Linked DNA regions of Xenopus tropicalis. The protein of the gene in region 1 interacts with the protein of each later gene in a pairwise test. Links are inferred from orthologs where the notes say so. Each region holds a gene or a part of one and is shown in the gene's direction. Other genes may lie near its edges.

The links. The genes of interacting proteins can lie anywhere in the genome.
Region 2: the proteins of nab2 (region 1) and tceanc interact in binary tests that used the Homo sapiens proteins (3 or more experiments, as listed by UniProt). The two-hybrid records come from large-scale screens. The link is inferred for Xenopus tropicalis from reciprocal best matches to the Homo sapiens genes NAB2 and TCEANC.

What each region holds. Positions count from the first base shown.
Region 1 is NC_030678.2:139,246,266-139,250,203, forward strand, and holds part of nab2 (NGFI-A-binding protein 2), read left to right. Parts: intron 1-325; coding exon 326-440; intron 441-3,688; coding exon 3,689-3,883; intron 3,884-3,938. UniProt on the Homo sapiens protein: Acts as a transcriptional repressor for zinc finger transcription factors EGR1 and EGR2. Isoform 2 lacks repression ability.
Region 2 is NC_030678.2:105,791,550-105,796,157, reverse strand, and holds the start of tceanc (transcription elongation factor A N-terminal and central domain-containing protein), read left to right. Parts: upstream 1-1,511; 5' UTR 1,512-1,819; intron 1,820-4,608.

The sequences.
Region 1 (3,938 bases):
GGAAAAGGGTCAGATCCAATTCAGTGAGGAAACCGTATCTCCAGTCAGCTTCCCCTAGAGACATTGATGCAGTTTTCTCCTCACTAATTTGTGACTAATACTCACTAGTGGATAAAACAAATCTTTATTTTTTATTGAATATATCTAGAAGCTATATATACATAATCATTCATTGAACTCTTTCTTTTCTACAATATTTTTACAATTGCTTTTGTCACAAAGATCAATATATTTTTAATGTATTTCAATAGGAGAAGAGAGAAAGTTCTTATTATCCATTTATATTATATGAGGCACTAATTCTTATCTTTTTATATATGTCCAGGCTGTGGAGATGCCTTTGCAGCTAGACACAAAGAGTGGCTCTGTATCAATGCGCCACAGTGTGGAAGAAGGCAGTGGCAGTATGTCAGGGGAGAGCATGGACGGCAGTTTGCAAGGTAACCGTGTTCTCTGTGACACCTATAATCCAATATTGTCTCTGCAACAATAAATTATACCTGGATCCAAACACCCCAAAATAACATTAAAGTCACTGCTGTACATGCCTCTGTGCTGATCTATCAATTACCAAAGCTTACAATGTGCTGAAGCACATTATACAATAGGTAGATTCTGTACTATTCGTCTAAATAAGCATCTGCATTCATTTTAAAAATGACTAATGAAGTAGAAACTCTTACTTAACTCGTACTTATGTCCAAACACTTCCGTATAGGTGTGCTGAGTGCCATTGCATCCATTCCACCTCTTTTGCTAAACCTTGCAAAGTTTATCTATTGATACAAGTGTAAGCTTATAGTAAATTAGCCCTTCTATTACCACAAGCTACACCGTATTTTACCCAGGATGAGACTGTATCCTTCAGGGGTGAGCCCTCACTTTATATGGAGGCCAGGCATATATGTTGTTGTATTTCTCAATAAATGGGCGCCAGTGGTTCTTAACCTTGAAACCATGAACTGTTTATTTACACAGCCACTTATAGTGTAATTACAGCATAGAATAGGTAGGTAGTAGCATCTCACAGCATAGGCAGTACTTACACAGCATAGTCAGAATAACCCTTTAGCTGCAGGGTACAATGGGTTAACTCCCAGCTTTCAGGTATATGCTTCCAGTGGAACCTGGGTGATCACTATCTAACCCTAGGTCTGTACACTGTTAACCCTACTCTGGGCAGTATTATACCCGGGATTATAATCCCTTTACAATTCCTGGTCGGAGCCAAAATGCTGCTCACTAAATAGCCCTGCCTGTCTATCACACCTAGGGGCTGATTTACTAAGACACGATTTCGAATCCGAATTGGAAAAATTCCGATTGGAAACGAACATTTTGCGATTTTTTCGGCGTCTTTACGATTTTTGCGTAAAAACGCGAGTTTTTCGGCATCTTTACGATTTTTGCGTAAAAACGCGAGTTTTTCGTAGCCATTACGAAAGTTGCGCAAAGTCGCGATTTTTTCGTAGCGTTAAAACTTGCGCGAAACGTTGCGCCATTTAAGTTTTAACGCTACGAAAAAGGCGCGACTTTGCGCAACTTTCGTAATGGCTACGAAAAACTCGCGTTTTTACGCAAAAATCGTAAAGACGCCGAAAAACTCGCGTTTTTACGCAAAAATCGTAAAGACGCCGAAAAAAATCGCAAAATTACCGATCATTCCGAAAAAAACGCAATCGGACGCATTCGGCCCGTTCGTGGGTTAGTAAATGTGCCCCCTAGTGTGATCTATAACAGGAGCTGGCTATTCTTTCTGAACCTACCTATTCCTAGATTTCCACAGTATCTCTCTGCCTGCTTGCTCAGGCAGAGAGCTTCACAAAATGGCTTCCAGCCTCATGGCTGCTGAGCCTTTTATATCACAGTGCCACCTAATGGCCAAACTGTGGAACTGCACAAGGGGTCATGCTATGACCAAGGAACAAGGGACTTACTTCCCATTACATTAACAACCCTTCGTAGCTGTCCAATACTAGGGGACCACGGAGTTAGAAAAGGTACAATTTACCAGTTCCCTACACAAGGGAACCCTGGACCCTGTGCGCCCCGCCCCATCCTGTCCCCATACCCCCAAACTGCCACCCCCCCCCCCGCTCATACACAAGGCAGCAGGGTTGTGGGGAGTACTGTAATGGGGGGGGGGGGAATGGGCCCAGAACTAGTGGTAAGTGAAAGAAGAGGTACTTGCCTGGCGCCCCCCCACCGTGGTGCCCTAGGCAGGTGCCTCTTCTGCCAACCCCTTGTTCCGGCCCTGCCTGGAGCTACTGCCACCCTGAACATACCAGTTATTCCAGGGTTCCCAAAGCAGGTTGTGTTTATAGGAACAGCAGACATATGCACTAATACTGTTTTAGCTCCAAAAGTAATGCAACCCTAACTGAAAATGTGGCAGATGCACTTGGAATTCAGGGATCAAAACACTGCTTTATGACCACAAAACATGGTGAATTCTATCAGAAAGTTGCACGTTGCACACTGCAGCCAATTCCATTTTCACTTAAAAATGCAAATGGAATGGTTCATGTGTAAATATTTTTAATTTCTGAAACTTTTATTTTTTTTAAGAAATGTCACTTTTTTCACGGTTTTGAGTTTTCCTGTAATTCACTAAAGCATTTTCTGATTTATTTTCAACTGAAAGGTGTTTTTCTAGTATATAGGAATATATGAAAACTGTAACAGTTACACAATTCCTTTATAAGGAGATAGAGTTAGTTAAAAAATATAATAGTGTGCATGCATTTTAATGTATTTCCTATTTATTGGTTGTATGTTGAATAAATGAAACACCTTTACCCCAGTTAGACAACACTAACATGTACAGATGAGTCCACAGTTTAGTTACACAGTATGAGCTCTGGTAGTTGTTTATTGTGTCTGTTCCTAGAAAGAATGTGGTATAGCCAGTTAATATCCAGGACTTTAGTACTTGGTGTGACAGCTGTATGCATGTTCTGAATGGGAGCCGTCATGCTGATGGTGATATAATTACTATGCTGGCACCCCCTCATCTGGCCTGCAGACATGTTTGTAATGTATTTCGTAAACTGTTGAAATGGAAACAGACATATTATTATTAAGACATTATAATTATTATTATTATTATTATTAAGGCTCATCTACAATTGTGAGTTTATTTGTAAAGCACTGAAATTGCCCAGTCATTCACAAAGGCTTCATTTACTCTTGCACCATTACATGCCCCTGAAAACTTGTGTCAGCCCCAATGCCATGCCCAACCTGCTCCGAGGAACTACATGATAGTTCCCAGACAGACAAAAGGGGAAGCCTGCAATTACTGCCAGCCAGGTAGTCCCCTCAGTGAGTAGGTCAGGGCCACAACTGAATTGTACTATAATACAGATATTACTGAGTGGAGCCATTCCAACACCAATTCTGTAAATTAGTGATGAGTGAAATCTTTCACCAGGCATGGATTTTGCCACTGGCAGATTTTTTCATGAAATGGGCTCCAAAATTTGCCACGTGTAAAAAACATTGCGAGACAATTTTTTTGACGCGGGTCATTTTCGCTGTTTCGAGAATTTTTTGCTGTCTTGCAAATGTTTTCTAAGATTCGCACATTTTACAGTGAAGTGAAGAAAGACGAATTTGCTCATTGCTACTGTAGACCCTTGTTTTATAAGAACGCCAGCAATGAATGTTTTACTCCTTTTCCCTACAGCAGTGGCCATAAGAATCCCAACATCTCCCAGCGGCCCCACAGACCTCTCCCTTAACCTGTCACATCCTGCACCATGGAGTAGGCAAATTCTCCAGCAGACTCTAATGGATGAGGGTTTACGATTAGCCAGACTGGTATCACGTGACCGCATGGGCCGCCTCAGTCTTTGCTTGCCTGGTACCCCACATATTTCAGGTAAGGTTCACTAATATATAATAAAAAAAATAATAAATATTTTTTTTTATAGTTT
Region 2 (4,608 bases), about 33 Mb from region 1:
TTGATTGACTTTTAGATCATTTGCATAATTAATTGATGACATAATATAATGGGGACGGCATTTCCCTCTGATAATGCCCCTGAGAAAGTATTTTCATACGAGACGCGTTGGGCTTTTATTATGATCAAATAAATGTTCTTTGGCATAACCATAGGCGGAGGGTGACTTTTTTGTTTGGGGAGGCTGAAGACAGAGTCTGACCTACAGCTAATGTGAGACTTAGTGGATTCACTGCTGGTGTAAAAAATTAACCTCCCAACTACCTCTTGCCACTGACTTCCAGGGTTACTGTGCAAAAGTGCAGGTGGGGGTGCTTTTTTTAACCCTAAAATGCTTAGGATGTAAAAGCATTCATACGTGCACTTCTGTTAGGGGTTCTCTATACATTTATGTTTGTGATCAGTTAGCTTCAAGGGGTAGTTCACCTTTAAATTAACTTTTAATATAAGGTAGACATTGATATTCTGAGACAATTTGCAATTGGTCCTCTTTTATTTTTAATGGTTTTCCGGTTATTTAGCTTATTGTTCAGCAGCTCTCCATTTCGTATTTCAGCAGCTATCTGGTTGCTAGGGTCTTATTTACCAGGTAGTGGTTTAAATAAGAGATGGGAATATGAATAGTTTAGGGGCCTGTATGGAAAAATAAAACTGTAGCTTCACAGAGCAATACTTTTTGGTTAGTGACCCTCATTTGAAAGCTGGAAAGAGGCAGAAGTGAAAGACAAATTATTTAAAAACTATAAAAGATTAACTAGGAAGACCAATTGCAAAGCTGCTAGGAATAGGCCATTCTATAACATACTACAAGTTAACTTAAAAGTGAACCACCCCTTTAGATGTGTTTAAGTTAGCTTTATAGAGAGAGGCAGCAGGTACTGACATCCCAAGCACGTTATATACAGTGAGACGCAGTCTTTATATACAAAACCAGCACATTATATGCCATGAGGAGCAGTGGGTACAGATGGCAGATATTCAGGCCCTGGCACTATAACACTGGCACTGATACACAGCATGGGCTCCACTGTAACTAACTAGAAATGAAAAAAACAATGACAAAGGTAAAAGAAAAATAGTGCAAAAAACCATAACAAATATATTAAAGCACAATGAGCTTTGTCGGGGGGAAAAGTTAACTTACCCTCCATCTGTTAGGGTAGGGGATAGGGATATTATATATGTCAGGTGACAAAAACCAATTTAATTTCAGCTAGTGGGTCAGTCTTTAGAACATGTATAGTACTTGTGTATAGTATCTGTGGGATGAAAACTGCAGCAAAAGTTCAAAGTTGGTTCTTGGGTAAAGTTTACAGCCCGCACATTCTTTTTTTTTTAGTCTTCAATTCTGCACTGCCTCCAGCAAAATTTCCCGATCCCTGTCTGCATCTAAGCCTTGATTGGTAAATTTTACTGCCTGTCCAGAAAGCTGTGCTTTGATTGGTGAATCCACAAGAACAAAGATCCAATCAGAGCACAGCTGATTTCTGCAGAACCCAGAGAAGATTTGCAGGGAAGTGCAGAAACAGAGCCAGGTTTTAAGGTGCCAAAGCAGGTTCCTCCCCAAGCCTTATTGAAAATCCGCCTATGGGCATAACTACACAGCCTGATTGAATCCTACCTCTGCACGCTTCCCCCTCCCACCCCCCCTTGCTTTGTTGCATTCCTCTCACACAGGAGAGAAGGGACAACGTGATTGACCAGAGGGAGTCACGTGGTCGCTTGTGGAATTCAGGACAGGAGGAAGTCTTTGTTATCAGCACGGAGGGAGAATATGGAGTAGTAAACGGCGTGATATGCACTTTGCAATCTGAGACACAGTGAGTAGATCCAGTAGCAGGGAAATTGTTCACGATCCAGTACATGCTTCATGATCCCTGGCCATTTGTTTTAGAACAGGGAGAAAAGTGATACATGTTTGTCTCCACTTACTGTGAGGTGCATATATGAAAAGGCTACTTTGTAAAGTATTGCTGTGACGTGGAGGAGCTGTGAAGGTGTCTGGAACAAGCGCACCTGTGGGGAACTTTTATTATTTACAAGTGGACTATTGGATCCACGATTTGTGGTGCAGCTGACTTTTACTTGCTTTTTATTTGTTTACTCCTAGCGCAGTTATTACTCTGTATTCTGTGTTTATACACAATCGCTATCTGACTTATCTTTGCCCAAATCTCCCTGTTTGCGGGCGACTAATCTCCCCGTGATGCCATCCCACCAGCGAAAATGTAAATTGCCGGTGGGATGGCATACGCGGCGGCGCGCAATTTCAGTGAAATTGCGGAAGTTTCCTCTCAAGGCAACTTTCGCAATTTCACTGAAATCGCGCCGCTGCGTATGTACATTTTCACCGGTGGGATGGCATTTCGGGGAGATTAGTCGCCCGCGAACAGGGAGATTTGTCGCAGGCGACTAATCTCCCCGTGTGCCAGAGCCCTTAGAGAGGCTTTCAAAGGACCCTATACATGCAGGGCCAGAATTAAAAGGACAGTGCCCTCCATAATGATTGGGACAAAGACCCAAATTTTTTAAATTTACCCCTGTGCTGCTCAGTGTATAATTTTAAATCAAGCAATTAAGACATGATTAAAGTGCACATTCCAGACTTAAAATGAAAGTTATTTGCATGTATTTTAGTTTTTACTATGTAGAAGTTACAACACTTTTTATACATAGTCCCCCTCATTTCAGGGCACCATAATGTTTGGGACGATTGGATTTACAGGTGTTTGAGATAACTCAGGTGTGTTTTATTGCTTCATTAGTGCAGGGATAAGATACCTTGCTTGCTTATGTTAATGAAAGTCAAGGAAGCTATTATAAGGCTGAAAAACAAGAATAAAACCATTAGGGTGAAGACACACAGAGCTACTAGTAGCAGCTACTTGTTGTGGCTACTAAAATAGACAATGCTGATCATTTACTGATAATTGTCTCTACATGTGTTTTAGCAAAGGCAATTCTCAGTATTGTCTATGGCAGGATATTTTCTGGAGTTTAGTAGCCTTTAGGGCTGTGACACACGGGGAGATTAGTCGCGCCACAACAAATCTCCCTTGTCACGGGCGACTAATCTCCCCGCAATGCCATCCCACTGGTTAGAATGTAAATCTCCGGTAGGATGGCATATGCGGTGGCGCGATTTGCCGTAGTCGCCAAAGTTTCCGCTCAAGGCAAGGGAGATTTGTTGTGGCGCAACTAATCTCCCCGTGAGTCACAGCCCTTAGAGACATTGGTCAAACCATAGGATTACAAAAATCAACTGTCTGCAATATCATTCAGAAGAAGGAATGTACTGGTGTGCTCTGTAATTGCAAAGGGACTGGTAGGCTGAGAAAGACCTCCACTGCTAATGACAGAAAAATTCTCACTATGGTAAAGAAAAATCACCTAAAACACCTGTCCAACAGATCAGAAACACTCTTCAGGAGGCAGCTGTATCTTTGTCAGAGACTACTATCTGCAGAAGACATCATGAACAGAAATACAGAGGCTACACTGCAAGATGCAAACCAGTGTGGCAAACTAGTTAGCCACAAAAATGGCCAGATTACAGTTTGCCTACAGAATTCTGGGAAAATGTGTTATTGACAGACTAGACAAAGATTTACCTGTATCGGAGTGATGGCAAGAGGAACGTTCAGTCTTTATTGGCATGTAGCTCGAGGTCTGTACTACACAAATGTGCCAATAATGATTGAGCGTTTTTAAGGGCTCTGGCACACGGGGAGATTAGTCGCCCGCGACAAATCTCCCTGTTCGCGGGCGACTAATCTCCCCGAATTGCCATCCCACCAGCGAGAATGTAAGTCGCCGGTGGGACGGCACGCTTCGCAGGCGATTTCGGCAGATCGGCGAAGTTGCCTCACGAGGTATTTTCAGCGATTTGCCGAAATCGCGCCGCCGTGTGTGCCATCCCACCGGCGACTTACATTGTCACCGGTGGGATGGCAATTCGAGAGATTAGTCGCCCGCGAACAGGGAGATTTGTCGCGGGCGACTAATCTCCCCGTGTGCCAGAGCCCTAACGCTTGTATACTACCTCGAGCAAACTTAAATGTATGCAGATAACTTTAAAGTAAAGTCTGGAATGTGCACATTGATCACATCTGAATTGATTTAAAATTTTACACTGAGGGGCAATTCAAAGAAAAATGTGTCTTTGTACCAAACATTATGGAGGGCACTGTAGCGATAGGACCTTAGTCACATACCTCTGTTGCAGGAGTTGCTGAGTGGGGGCTTATTGATGCAGACCTTGCTCCGACTTTTCGTATCCTCTACATTGTAATGCAATAGTTTGGTCCTAGGGCCGTGATCCCCAACCAGTGGCTTGTGAGCAACTTGTTGCTAATTTTTGAATTCCTGGCTTGGAGTCAAGTTTTGGTTGCATAAAAACCTGGTGTACTGCCAAACAGAGCCTCCTGTAGGCTGCCGGTCCATAAGGGGCTACCAAATAGCCAATAACAGTCCTTATTTGGCATCCCAGGAACATGTTTTATGCTTGTGTTGCTCCCCACGTTTTTAAATTTGAATTTGGCTCACAGGTAAAAAAAGGTTGGGGACCCCTGCCCTAGGGCATATTGGTGGAAGATTCCCTTGTTAGGCA